2 linked regions of the Notamacropus eugenii genome follow. The protein of the gene in region 2 interacts with the protein of the main gene of each other region in a pairwise test. Links are inferred from orthologs where the notes say so. Each region holds a gene or a part of one and is shown on either strand. Other genes may lie near its edges. The genes, in order: BATF3 and JUNB.

What was found.
Region 1: the proteins of JUNB (region 2) and BATF3 interact in binary tests that used the Homo sapiens proteins (3 or more experiments, as listed by UniProt). The link is inferred for Notamacropus eugenii from reciprocal best matches to the Homo sapiens genes JUNB and BATF3.

The regions. Positions count from the first base shown.
Region 1 is NC_092873.1:425,465,186-425,472,464, forward strand, and holds the start of BATF3 (basic leucine zipper transcriptional factor ATF-like 3), read left to right. Parts: upstream 1-4,148; 5' UTR 4,149-4,369; coding exon 4,370-4,447; intron 4,448-7,279. UniProt on the Homo sapiens protein: AP-1 family transcription factor that controls the differentiation of CD8(+) thymic conventional dendritic cells in the immune system.
Region 2 is NC_092875.1:78,133,774-78,141,133, reverse strand, and holds JUNB (transcription factor JunB), read left to right. Parts: upstream 1-4,587; 5' UTR 4,588-5,015; coding exon 5,016-6,098; 3' UTR 6,099-6,701; downstream 6,702-7,360. UniProt on the Homo sapiens protein: Transcription factor involved in regulating gene activity following the primary growth factor response. Binds to the DNA sequence 5'-TGA[GC]TCA-3'.

The sequences.
Region 1 (7,279 bases), on a different chromosome or scaffold from region 2:
TGTGGGAGACAGAATATAATTCAATCAATAAACATTTATTAAATACCTGCTATATGCCAGGCACTGTGTTAAGAACTGGAGATGATAAAAAGAGGCAAAAGACAGTCCCCGCCCTCAAGGAACTCACAATCTAAGGGAGAGACAAGCAAACATACACAAAAGAAACAATTACGTAACTCATAATTACAAAGCAGGAAGAAGGGGACCATGAATGAGGGTCAGGAGAAGGGAAGTAGGGGAAGAAGAGTTACAAAAGAATTGGGACCATATGTGACAAAGTAACTCAATATAACTCAATCTGCTCAGGGCAAGAAAAGTTCTGAACTGAGGAGTCAGATAAGACCTGATTTTTCTCATTGTTCATCCTCTTCACAATATTTGGATCTCTTGGTTACCTCTTCCTGGATACTCTCTCCTCTGTGGGTTTTGGGTCATTATTGTCTCTTGGTTTTCCTCCTATATGTGTCTCCAAGGCTCTGTCCTGGGCCCTCTTTTCTTCTTCCTTTCTCCTGTTTCACTTAGTGATCTCATCAGCTCCCATGGATTCAGTTACCATCTCTATGCTTATGGCTGCCAACTCTATATATTCAGGCCTATCTTCTGAGCTCCCATCCTATATTTCCAATAACCTACCAACATGTTGAGCTGAATATCTAGTACATCTTTCAAACTCAAACATGTCCATAGCAAAATTCACAATCTTCCCTCCAAGCCCTCCTCTTGTCCATATTTTCCTGTTAAGGGCACCCCTATCATCATAGTTCTCAACTCCGGTTCTCAACCTAAGGTGCCGAATCATGTCCCTTCTGCCTTCTCAACATCTCTGATGTTCCCTTCTGGTCATTTATACACCACCACCCTAATTTAGGCACTCATTACTTCTTTTGTAGGCTATTACAATGGCCTTCTAATCATTTTCCCTTCTTCAGTTCTCTCCTCTCTCCAATCCATCATACATACAGCTGCCAAAGTGATTTTCCTAAATCACTGCTCATGTCGCTTTGGGGATAGCTAGGTAGCACAGTAGATAGAATGCCAAGCTTGGAGTCAAGAAGACTCATCTCCCTGAGTGCAAATCTGGCCTCAGACATTTACTAGCTGTGTGACCCTAGGCAAGACTTTTAAACCCCATTTGCCTAAGTTTCCTTATCTGTAAAATGAGAAGGAAAAGGCAAAGAACTCCAGTATCTTTGCCAAGAAAACCCCAAATAGGGCCACAAAGAGTCGGACAGGACTGAAATGACTAAACAACAGGTCCCTTCTTCACCCCACCTCTTTCCAACAATAAACTCCAATTGTACCTTATTACTTCTAGGATTCAGTAGAAAACCTTCTAGTATTTAAGGCACTTTGCAACCTGATGCCTTGCTACCTTTTCAGTCTTCTAACTTTAATCCTTTCCATGAACACTAAGTTTAAACAATACCAGCCTACTTAACTGTTCCTTGAACATGACACTGGATCTCCAGTCTCCTTGTCCCTGTCTGTCGCCTGGGCCTGGAATGATTTCTCTCTTCAGGTCTGTGTCTCAGCATCCTTAGTTCTTCTCAAGACTCAGACAACCTTTTGTAATAGGGTCTTTCTCCATCTGCTTGAGCTTTCCCTTCCTAGGTTCCCTTCCTTTGGCTCTGTATGGATCTTGTATTGCTCATTCATTTCCTTGTTGTCTCCTTTCTTGCAATGTGAGCTTTGTAAGGGTAGGGACTCTTTTTGTATTTTTTACTTTCTTAGTATTCCCGTAGTACTAATCTCACAGGATTGTCATGAGGCTTAAACATAGTGTCGGTAAAGTGTTATTATTATTATTATTAAAAGCAAATATCACTTCATTTTTGAAAAAGACACATGGAGATAATAGAGCTGTGGAAGAAAACACTAACAGTTCTAGAATCTTTTCCACAGTCAGTTTTTAGTTCTGCCCATGTTCTTTCAGTTGAGACAATGCCTTATAAAAACTAAACTTTCTCATCCCTATTTCTGATCTGTCTTAGTTAGACAAGTCTATATACTAGCCAAAAAAGCCTATTGAATACTCATTCTGTGGTTTATTTATTTGAATCTGTATTTTAGAAACTAATCAGAGAATTTTGTTGTACGGAGGAAAACACTGACCAGGAAATCAGGAGGCCAAATTCTAGTTCGGATTCTGATACTAATTATGTGATGGTAAACGATTCGCTTAAATTCTCATGCCTCAGTTTCCTCATCTGTAAAATTAGAGTTGCATTAGCTTTAGGGCTCAAAGGGTCCTTAAAATTCCCAGTCCAACCACCTCATTTTCAGACCAAAGATCACACAGGTACTAAGTGGAAAAAGCCAGAATTTCAACCCAGATCCTCTGATTCTAAATTCAGTATTCTTTCCATTATACCAAGATGATCCAACTCTAAAAATCTCCTGTCTTCTCCACTTCTCTTGGCCTCTTTCCTTCTGTTCATCATATGCTTAAAGGTATATGTATATATATACACTGACATGCCTACATATCTTTATATAATACACCTATACATACCTGTAAATGTGATATACACATATGTAAATATTGTAGATATAATGTGTTCGTGTATATGTATGGATGTATATGTATGTGTACATATAGGTGTGTATGTATGTCTGTGTATAGATATATACACATTCATTTATGTGCATATAAATATCTAAACATTTATAAATATACATACACATCATACATACACACATATGACAAACCCCAAACACTGCACGTATTGCCAGTTTTCTGACCTCATTTGGTAACTTAGTGGACCTGCAGAGTCACATTCAGTTTTACAGGCATACTTCGCAGCTCTTTGGACATTTTCAAACATTCCTTCCTTATACTCAAGTGGGCATAGATAGGCCACAGGACACAGACCGGCTGTGTAACCAGTTGAACATTTCTCCTTTGCTGGGATAAATTTCTTGGCCTTCTTGAAGCTAAAGATGTGAGTTGTAGGGTAGGGGAAGAGACCAAGGAGAAAACGGTCAGAGAGAAGCCTGTAAAACTATTTCTTCCTCTTCTGGTTTAAAATGAACCGAAATCCCGTTACTAAGAGATCCAGTCAATGAAAGCCTGAGGAAAAAGAATTCTAGCCTGTTGAATGTGTGGAGTTCCTTTAACCTGTTAGTGGATACACTGAGCCGGTTACATCTCCGCAAATCAGCCACCCCTCCTTCTCCTCCAGCCTTGATACAGAGCAAGCGCTAAGGTGAGGAAAAAGAAAGGATGGACAGACTCTTCTGGTAGCGTTAGAAGCCCAAAATGGACTGTGATGCGATCTGGGAGAGAAAGCACGAAGGAGAATGGGGATGGCATCGAAAGTCTGGGAATAGAGGGCAGCATCCCCGCCTCCATCCCCCTTGCTTTCCATCCTTTACTTAAAAACGTAATTCTCTTTTTGCAGATTTTCAAGGGGACCCAGGCTAGACTGAAAGAAGGTGTCTTGCAAAGCTGTGGCTTGGTCCAAGCTCAGAGAGATTGGCAAAAAGGGGAAAAGGAAGAGGAAGAATGGAGAGCTGGGTCACTGGGATCCTTAAATTAGGGAGGAGCAAATACACCCCGAGGGCAGAGATGACTGTCAGTTCCCTCTGAAGTCCCCAGTCTCTTCAAAACTGGCAAAGGGTGAAGGGGTGAAACTGATGTGAAATTTTTGTGATGATACTTGGGGGAAAAAAACCAACAAAAAAACCCTCCAACTCCAAACCACCCACTTGTTTTTATCTACGTCTGAGAGCTGAGGGTCTCTAAAAGTCCTATGCTCTAGTTTCCTTACTCCTACCCCCTTCTCAAATAACCCCACCTTGTGGTCTCGAGTTCCCTCCCAAGTTTCGAAGACCAACACGTGATTTCCATTAAGCCGGGGGCCCCCCCAGACGAAATGCCTGCGAGGCGGAGAGGGGGGTTGGGGCGGGACTCTGCCAATGGGACCTCGGGATGGGGAATCTTCGTGGAGTTGGGGACTAAGTCAGGGAGGGTAAGGAAGTAAATCAGCACTTGGACAGGGCGGAGAGGGGCGGGATCCCAAGGGATCAGAATTTGGGGAAGGGGTTGTGATCGGGAGCTGGGCAGGGGGGTGGGGAAGAGAGAAAGACCTGCAGCGGAAGGAAGAGGGAGAGTAGAGTGAGAGTGAGATCTGGCAGCCCGAGGGGGAGGAGGAGGTGTGCCTCCAGTCTGGCCCGGGAAGAGAAGGGAGGAGGGAAAAGTCGGCTTGCTCCAGAGCAGGGCCAGGTGCGCTGGCGCGAAGGATGCCCGCGGCCGGAGAATCTCCGTAGGCTGGGAAGGGGCGCGGCGGGCCGGGCTGGCTGCTCCTCCCCCGGAGGCTGCGCCGCGCTGCCCTGCCGGGGGCGGGTCGGGAGCAGCGGAGCTCCCGGCATGTCGCAAGGGCTCCCGGACACTGGCAGCGTCCTGCAGAGGAGCGTCTCTGCCCGCGGGAACCAGCCACAGCCGCAGGTAGCCAGGGGAGGTGGGCAGGCGGGAGGGAGAGGGAAGAGGCTCGGAGAGCCAAAGTAAGTGCCTGCGGCCGCGGCAGCTCTCCAGGCTGCGGTGCTGGGGAGGGACTGGGCGGAGAGGGCCGGGGACAGGGCAGGAGGCACTGGCTTGGGGCAGCAAGCGTGGGGTTGGCGGCGATGACCAGGCTGGAGCCCGGCGGCCGAGGAGTGCTCGCGGCTGCCACCTGAGCTGTCACTTTACCCCCGGGGCTCGGGCACCGGAGCCCGGCGGTCTGGCTGGGGAGAGTCCTGCCTTCGCACGTGGGAACTCAACTCCGGGAGCTGCTCTGTGGCCAGTCGCCAAGGCCTTCCCTTTGCCAGGGCTCAGTCGGGGTCCCTGCTTTCCCATCTCCCAGCCGTAGGGGCAAGGGGACTTTCAGGACCAGTAGTGGAGGAATGGAGGGCTGGGGAGAGGGGTTCCACCCTTGCCCATCCTTCTTCCTCTCCTGCTCTAGCTTCAGAGAATACTGCTCTTAGGGAATGGAGGCTTAGTCCTAATGCCGGGGGAAAGTGGAAGCACTCCGCAGACTGGAGAAAGTCGCCTTAGAAGTCCTTTAGTCAACACCACTCAGTACCAGTAAGGATAAGTGATATGCCTTGCCGATAAAATTCCTGGAAGGATCTCACCTGGAACCTAGGTGCCTTGTTGCTGGACCCAGTACCTCTTCATATCCACTATGCTAACCCCAGCAGCAGGCTTCACGTGAAATACCAACCAACTAGGTCAGCTAACTAGTTTTGTGACGCTGGGCAAGTCGCTTAATCTCTGCCTGCCTCAGTTTCCTCCTCTGCAAAATAAGGATAATTAATAGTAATAGCACCTACCTCCCAGGGTTGTTGTAAAGAACCAATGGAGATAATATTTGTAAAATATTTTGCAAACCTTAAATTGCTTTAAATGATAGCTATTATTGTGATTATTATTAGCTAACTCTCAAGCTTTTTTCCCCTGTGGTCCAGGTCCTCATCCCCTTCAACACACACACGCACCCACGCACACACACAGACACACAGACACAGACACAGACACAGACACACACACACACAGATACACGCACACACCCTGTTTATCTGGCCACCTTCATGGGAAGTAAGTGAAAAGACCACTAGAAATCAGAGCTCAAATTCAGCCTCTAACGGAAGTTAGCGAGAGGACACTTAAGTAGCAGGCATATCTTGAATCCAAGTTCCCAAATATCACAGTAGCCCAGTCAGAATGTGGAATACCCTCAGCTCTGAATAAGGGAGCTAGAGCTCATTTTACAGATAAGAAAGTCCAAGCTCATTAAGTAACTTAATTTATATTAACTCCCTACCAACACAAGTAGTAGGCATAGAGGGTTTGGGGGTAAGATTCAAACCCAGGCCCCCTGATTCCCAAGCCAGTGCTATTTTCATGTATCATGCTGGTCAATATAATTCAGGGGACATTTATTAACCCTTCAAATCAGCACTTATTTGCTTTAATAAATGAGTTTATTTTATTTTTGGAGGCAATCTGGGGTTAAGTGACTTGCCCAGGATCACACAACTAATAAGTATCTGAGGACAGATTTGAACTCAGGTTCTTCTGACTCCAGAACCAGCACTCTATCCACTGCACCAGCTAGCTGCCTCTTAATAAGTTATTTAGAGTGATGGTGATGACAGTGAATAAGCTGGTATGATTGTGTGCGCAGCATAGTATAGACTTTTTTGTTGTTCATACCATTGATTTCATTGGTTTAGAAAACTCCAGGCGAGGAATTTCCTTTTACCAGTGCAGATGTGGGACTTTTGTAGTCTTGGAGAGGGGTCTGAAGGGACCGAAAGGTTGTCCATAGCTGAATAGTCAGAGATAAGACTTGAACCCTGACTCAAGAAATCTGGAGTCAATACTAGCTTGTCTGCAGCAATGTGGGGAGAACATCTCAGACTTGCTTCAGATCTTTTTAGCACAGAGTCATTTTCTTCTGGACGTATGTGCATGTGTTGGAGTGGATTGAGTACTAAGCAATGAGTCAAGAAATTCTGGGTTTAAATCCCTCTTAGCATCTGTGAGACCCCAAGCAAGACATTTAAGCTCTATGCCCTAGAGAACTCCCACTAATTACCTACTGACATGTAGATCTTTGTTATAGGTAGTGTAAGTTCCAATGCTCGGAACCCAGAAGGCTGACAAAATCACTGAGTCTTCTGGTCTTATTCTTTTGGGTGAATGTGTGTGTGTCCAATTCCTTGTCCTTTTTTCCTTGTTAGATGGTAACTTCTTCAGGGAAGACCATAACTTCTCTTTCTTAAGTATCTTCCCATGAACCCCAGCATAGCAAATGCCCAGTCATTATTTTACTAGGTTGTGTTTTTGACCCAAGGTCGTGAAATCTCTGTTTCAACTTGACTATTCAGCATTTCACATTAATTGGCTTTAAGTGTTTGTTCTGTGATAAGCTTTGAGGGATTTGACTGACGTACTATTGTGTACCACCAGAGAGTTTCAAGATGTATTGGTTTAGTCAGTCATCTTCTAAGAAAAGGACTGATTATTAAAGTTTCAAATAGCCATATCTTAGTTTATAAAATTGAGGATTTTTAATGGAATTTGACATGTCAATGTAAGTTACAGGGAAGTATGAGGCATACAGAATGACTAATAAAACCTGCATTTGTGCATTTCATTATTATCAAAAGTTTTTGGGTATCTTTTTGTGTGACACTATGTTGGAGTCTATCCAAAAATAAGTTATACAAAGTCCTTAGCTTTCTGTGAGTTTAAAATCTAAGTCAAGCACCACCACCACCACTGGGTGTTCTATGC
Region 2 (7,360 bases):
AGAATCTTAGTTGTAAGGGACCTTGGAGGTGAAGTAGGCACTCTCTATCTCTGTCTTTCTGTCTCTGTCTCCTCCTCCGGCCTTCTTTCCCTCTCTTTCCCCTCTCCCTCCCTTTCTCTGTCTAAGTCTGTTTCTCTCTCCCTCTTTCTCTTCCTATCTTTATATCTGTGTCTACTTCTGTCTGTAGATCTCAGTCTTTCAGTCCTTTTTCCCTGTTTCCCATCCCTTCAACCTGATATCTATCTCTTTAGCTGACCAAGGCTTGCTGTGGGAGCTGAGTCACCAAAGCCTCTGGGTCCCTGCCCACTCCTGGCCCTGGCTTGGGGGGGTGGGGTTGAACTTCTGGGAGCAGTGGGTGGATGTTGTATGAAGAAGGGGGGCTGGGATAGCCAGTGAATGAGAGTCTGTACCCCTCCCCCAGCAGTTATCTTACCCATTCTCTGTTGTTTCCCTCTACCCCCCCTCCCCTCCCTTATGGGAAAGCCCCTGTAGAGGCCCTGGCCTCCCCCAGCCCAATGGTCTTGCCAGGTGTCAGTCAGGGAGTCATTAGCATGGGCGGGAGACAGGGAGATTGGCATAGTGCCGGCCAGACAGAGCCCAGTTCCCTCCCCACACACATACACATACTATTCTCATACTTACTCCATCCCTCTTGACTGGTCAGTTACAGCCTGGAATATATCTCAGAAGATAGAGACCAGGATGATGGAGGGAACAGAGAAAGGGACCAAGTTGGGGAGAGCAGGGGACGGGGAAAGTGGTGAAGGAGGGACGAACATGAGGCATTGGGCAGGGGTTCAGGTTAAGGAAAAAGAAGAAACATGGTGGTAACCCTGGGGATAAGCAGATACCTAGACCAGACAGAGAGGTTGGGGGTTCAAAGTTGAGGATAGTGTCCTTGTCATGTTTCCTAATCTTCCTCATTGGGGCAGCTAGGTGGTGCAGTAGATAGAGCACCAGTGCAGGAGTCAGGAGGACCTGAGTTCAAATCTCACTTCAGACACTTGACACTCACTAGCTGTGTGACCTTGGGCAAGTCACTTAACCCCAATTGCCTTGTCGTGGGTCATCTCCAGTCATCTTGATGAATATCTGGTCACTGGATTCAGATGGCTCTGGAGGAGAAGTAAGGCACAGCTCTCCCTCACTCAAAACAAAGTCAAGTGCAAGTCATGTCATTATTTCTCTGATGGCATGGTCTTCTTCAGCAACCAAGGATGAACACAGCCTTCCTCATTATATCCCCCTGTCTCCCTCTCCCACCATCTCCACTCGCTCCTCTATTCATCTGTAATTTTTTTATCCTCTCTTCAACTCTATCTGTCTGTATAGCTATCTGGCTCACTTAGTCTCAGTTTCTCTTTCCCTTCTTTCATTTTCTTACTCCACACACAAGCAACCTTCTGCCTTTGGTTCCTCTGTCTGCCTGCATCTCTACCTCTCACTGTTTCTCTTTCCATCTGTCTTTCTCTTTCTGTGTACTCCATCCCTCCCTCCCCCCTCTCCCTTTCTCTCTGTCCCTCTGTTTCTGTCTCTCTTACTTTCTATGTCTCTCTCTATTCCTCACTTTTCTGTTTTTGTATATAATCAGAAATAGATTATCTAACCCAACTCTTTACAAATGAGGAAATTGAGGTCCACAGAAGGAGTCATTTGACCGATGCAGAAGCCGCATCTTTGTCTCTGTTTAGTGTCAGGATTGTAAAGAGATCACGTTGTGCAGACCCTTATAAAGTAATTATAGATGGGTTAATCAGGACCCTGAGAGTGTCTTATACTAGTAAGTGGCAGAAATGGGACTAAAACGCAAATGTCCTGAATGTGATTCAAGTTCCTCACCTTGTAGAAGTACTCCCTGTGTAAAAGTGGGGGCTGGACAGCTCCCTCCAAAGTTACCTTAGCCATCCCCTGGCTGCAGCTCTGGGCCTCTCTGGAAGGGAAGTGAGACTTCCTTTTTGTTCCAGACACACACCCTGGCAGCTGGGAAGTCCCACCTCTGGTCTGACACGAAGCCTCACCATCCTATTTCTACCCAATAATCTCAGCTGTCCTGTGAAATGGGAACTGTCACTCAGTCCCTCTTTCCCACCTTGGGCCCTAGGCTCCTCCGCCACGCCAGCGCCCCGGACCTTGTCCTCCTGGCTGCTTTGCTCCCTTCCCACTCACTCCAACCTCCGCCCCAGGATGGGGTGAAGTCTGGCCCAAGTCTTCCTGGGCTCCCCTGGGATCCTGCCTCAGGGCAGGGGGACAGGACTTGGGTGGGGTGAGGCAGGACAAAGCTGGAGGCCCAGGGGCGGGTGAGATGGGGGGGTGCTGTACGGAGGCGGTGGCCGGGGCTGGTTGGAACTAGCCAGAGAGGGGCCCGGCTTGGCCCCTCCTTAGGACCTGGCAGGAACCGGGTCTCTGGGCTCGGGGCCCCGCCCCTTCCTGTGACCTTATTTGGACTTAGGGCTGAAACTGGGAAGGCGGGACCAGAGTCTGAATCGGGGGAGGGGGACAGGATCCTGGAGGACCGGAGGGGCAGAGATCCAGAGTTTGAGAGCCGGAGCTTGAAGTACAGGGGACTGGAGTTTGAATCTGGCAGGGAAAGGACTTAGGATGCTGGGGGAAAAGGGGTAGGGGATGAATCTGACCCGGAGAGGACCAGAGGAGGCCGAAGAGAGTTCTATGGGGCACCATGGGGTAGAGATTCCAAGGCAGGAGTCCTGGGGGCGGGTGCTCAGGATGCTGCAGAGTGGGATTTGGGGGACAAAGGTTCAGAGGCTGAAGAGTTCTGAAATGGAAGAGTCTCGGGGAACTGGAGAGGAGATCTGGATGAGCAGGAAGAATAACAGAGGTTTAACCAAGAAGGTCAGGAATCTGGAGGGGCAGGAGTATCTCAGGCCTCATTCAACTCTCAGACTGGGAGCCAGGGGCAGGCAATATCCTAGAGCCCCCTTCGGTTACTATGGAGACAATGACAAGAGCTCCACCACCCTGCCCCCATCTCCTTTTCTACGGTATTGTATCACTCCAATTAGGGCTGTATTGGGAACCCCCTTAAAGGGATTCTCTGACTATAGAGGACATTTAGGGTTCCTCTTCCCATTCTCTGGCCCTATTTCCACCCGTGACTTCAGAGACTTGCTGAGGCTTAGGGGAGGGGAGCATTCTCACAGGTAAATTAAACTCAGCAATCCATTCTGGCCTTCCCCTCCTCCCTCAAACCAGCCAATGGTGCAGGAAACCAGGGATGAAGACAAAAAACCGTTAGGTAGCACCCCCTCTTCCCCAAAGTCCAGACCTCCTGCATGTCTCCATCCCCACCAGACTCCTGGACATCTTAGAAATACCCAGAGGAGTCCAACTTTTGGGAATGCTTAAGAGAAAGGTCTCACTGACTTCCAGAGGCAGGCCTGGATCTGTTCCTGTTGGGGAAGAAAGGTGGTTCTATACCTGTCCCTGCTTTGGGGGAACAGTTCCAGAGGCCAGGCACATACCTGCTCCCCTAGGTCCTGTCGAGTCCCAGTTCCTCATACCCATTGCCACATTTCCGTCAGATCTTTCTTAAGCAGGTTTCTAGGGAAGTCAGGGATTGGAGGCACCCAGGGGAGTTCTCCCGGATACCAACCCAGATCCCAAGGGGGAGGGAAAAGGGCCCTAGGCTTGAAGTCAGGAAACCTGCTCTAGATTGGTCTCTGCTTCTTACTACCTTTGGGCCTTCCTCCTTGTAGAATAAGGGAGCTGCCCCATCATATTTCTAAGATACCTTCTAACTGCTAATCTGTGATTCCATGGGTGTGCCAGCTCCCCATAGACTGGGAGAGGAACCTAGGCGTTCTGCCCTTCCCTCTCAGACCGCCTTTTAGGGGAGCAAGAGAGACTGGGATTGGGGGCTAAGAGGAGTAAAGAGGCACTGGAGCTCCTGGTTCATCGATAACCTATGCCACACCCTCCCATCCGCCGGCTTCCCAGTTCTAGGTACTCGGTACCCTTCTAATAGACAGCGAGTAGGGAGGGGTCTTTAGTCTCTGAGAGTGGGGTATGTGAGGGTCAGACAGGGTCCGAGTAGGTTGCAGACACTGCGTGTATAGGTCGGAGGTGTAGTAGGGAGTGGGGAGTTTCGAGGTGTCCGAGTCTTCGTAAAAGGGTCGGTGGATTCCCGTGGGGATTTGTCACAGCAGCTTCTGGGGCTCAATCGCCCCCATCCCCGGGTTGGTCTTAGGATCCCCTGTCTCTTATCTCAGGTCCCCCTCTTCCCTGATCTGTCTTCCAGGCCCAGTCTCTCGGCCTCTCGCGAGCCAGCCCCCTACTCCGGCCCCCAGTTTCCCTGTCTCCCTTGCCCATCCCAGTACCATCCCAGCCCAGCCCTGTCCTTGCCCGGCCCTGTCCCGCCGCCGCTGCTGTTTACAAGGACACGCGCTTCCTGGCAGTGACGCCAGTCTCCTCCTCCCCTTCCCCACGCCGAGCCCGGGCATACTGGGCGGGGAGGGGAAGAGTGGGGTGCGGGAGGAGGCGGGGGCCTGGTTCCCCTGCACAACCAATCAGGGATCGCTTACGCAGCCACCGCCGTATAAAGGCTCTGGGGTACGCAGCGAGGCCGGCAAAGAAGCGGGGAGTCCGAAGGCTGTGGGCTGGGAATGCGAGCTTGAGAACAGCAGGCAGCCATAGAGCCTTGATCGCCCGAGCCAGCTAACAGGGCGCGGCGCAAAGAAGACCAACTGAACCAGGCCAGGACTTGGACTCCTGCTGTCAGATCTGCCTCGCTAACACAAGATCCTTGCCACTGTTTTCTGGAGACTTGAAGGGGTGGGGACGGTCACAGAAGACTGAGTCCGGGAAGAGTGGGGCACAGCAGGGGAACTCAGGTTTAGCATCGAGGTGCGTTCCGGAAGCCAGAAGCGGCTGGTCTGACCCGAGCCTCCCAAAGCGTGCCCCGAGGGCATTCAGGCATTGGAGCTCGAGTGCCTCAGGGGTCTCCTCCTCTCGGCAGAGGGGAGCGCCGGGAGCTACGAGCTGGGCGCGCGGGCGCCTGGATGTGCACTAAGATGGAGCAACCTTTCTACCACGATGATTCGTACCCGGCGGCAGCTTATGGCCGGGGAGGTGCCGCTGCACTGGGACTGCATGATTACAAGCTGCTGAAACAGAATCTGGCACTCAATCTTGCCGCTGCCGCTGACCCTTACCGCGGCCTCAAGGCGCCAGGGCATGGTCGGGGACCGGGACCAGAGGACGCGAGTGGTGCCTACTTTTCAGGACCGCCACCTCCCCCTCAGAACGAGGCCTCTGCTGGGCCGGCGGGCTCGTTAAAGCTCGCGTCTCCCGAGCTGGAGCGCCTCATAGCGCAGAACAGCAATGGGCTCATCACCACAACGCCCACGCCGCCGGGCCAGTACTTCTACTCGCGCAGTGTGACGGAGGAGCAGGAGGGTTTCGCAGATGGCTTCGTCAAAGCGCTTGACGACCTGCACAAGATGAACCACGTGACGCCCCCCAACGTGTCACTGAGCAGCAGCAGTGGCAGCTCCGGAACCGCAGGGCCCCCAGCTCCCCCTAGTAGCGTTTATGGTCCCTCAGCCCTGGGCCCCGAACCACCTCCTGTCTACACCAACCTCACTAGTTACAGCTCCAGTGGTGGTAGTGGGGGCGCGGGCGCAGGGGCCGCGGGCGGCTACCCTACTGCCACAATCAGCTACCTCCCCCACGGACCGCCCTTCCCCGGGGGCCACCCGGCAGCAGTGGGGTTGAGCGCCCGGGCTGCGGGAGGCGCAGGGCCGCTGGCGGCCTTTAAGGAGGAACCACAGACAGTGCCCGAGGCGCGCAGCAGGGACGGGACACCACCCGTGTCGCCCATCAATATGGAGGACCAGGAGCGCATCAAAGTGGAGAGGAAACGACTGCGGAACCGGCTGGCGGCCACCAAGTGCCGCAAACGGAAGCTGGAGCGCATCGCGCGACTCGAGGACAAGGTGAAGACCCTCAAGTCCGAAAACGCTGGGCTGTCGAACACGGCTAGTGTGCTCCGTGAACAGGTGGCGCAGCTCAAGCAGAAGGTGCTGAGCCACGTCAACAGCGGCTGCCAGCTGCTGCTGGCCGTCAAGATGCAGAACTTCTGAGCCCACGCGCGGCCCGCCCACGGACCCGGCTGCGTGACTGACTCTCCCCCTCACGCCCCCGCCGCGCGTGATTCTGCCCGGGTATGGGCGGGCCGCAGACTCTGAGACGCGGGAGGAGGGCAGGGCCACCTGGAGGGCACTGGACTAGACGGAGGGGCCCCGCCCAGCGCGCCTGTCGGCTCGCTCTCTTTCTTCCCCACTCACCCACTAGTTCCAATCTCGAAGTTTACAAGCCTCACCTTGACCTGGGCCCCCACGCCTCTGGGCGACCCTCTGTACTCCCTGTTTTGTACGGTTTTTTTTTTCTGCAGGAAACAGACACGATTCATATTGAATATAATATATTTGTGTATTTAAGAAAGAAGTTCTATCCCCGCGGCGGAGCTGGCCCCGCTGCCTACACACGGCCCGCGCGGTGGCGGGTAGGAGCCCCTAGGAAGGGGTGCTCTCAGCCTGCCACCTTGCCTGCCCTGAGGGTTCCATCGGGTTGTGTCTCCCGGAGCACTTGAGTTTTAAAGTTTATTTTATCATTTTTGTGTGTGTTTTTGTTGTTCTGACTTTTTATTGAATTTATTTAAGTAAAAAAAAAAAGACTGTTTATTATTTATTACTCCTTGGCGTCTTAATGGAAAGATGGGGGAGGGAATGCGGCTGGGGAGGGAAGGCTAATTTGAACCTTAAACCTGGTTCAGCACCTAATTTTTTGCTGGCTGCCTTCTGAGCCTGCCTATAATGGTTGTTTCTGTCCCTATCCCTGTTTATCATCTATCCTATCTATCTATCTCTCCATCTGTCTATCCATCTATCCATCTATGTTCTAGGAGTCTGGCTCTTTCCTATCACTGTCCCTTATATATCTAGTTCCCTTTTCTTTATGTCCCTGTTTCTCAGTCTCTAGCGTCTTAGTGTGTCTCTCCAGTCAGTTTCTGTTTCTAGACTCTTATATTAACAATCTCTTCGTGATTCGGTTCCTGCCGTCTGTGGCCCCGGGCGTCTTAGCCTGGAGGGACAAGCTGTGACGTCGCTGGGGCTTTTTCTCGCTTTGAGGCTGGACCCAAACCTTTCTTTGGCGGAGAAAAAGACCCTAGAGGAGTGTTAGAGTCGGCCTTTGGCTGCGCAAGCGCGGTTCCTCGCGCTAGGGGGCTTTTCCCGGTGACGCACAGGAAGCCATGCCCATATACGGACCGTTTCTGCCCAGTGACGCGCCGGCGGTCAGGCCTATTCCGGGAATCCCCTCCCACGTTGCCCGGCTGACCCTGAGC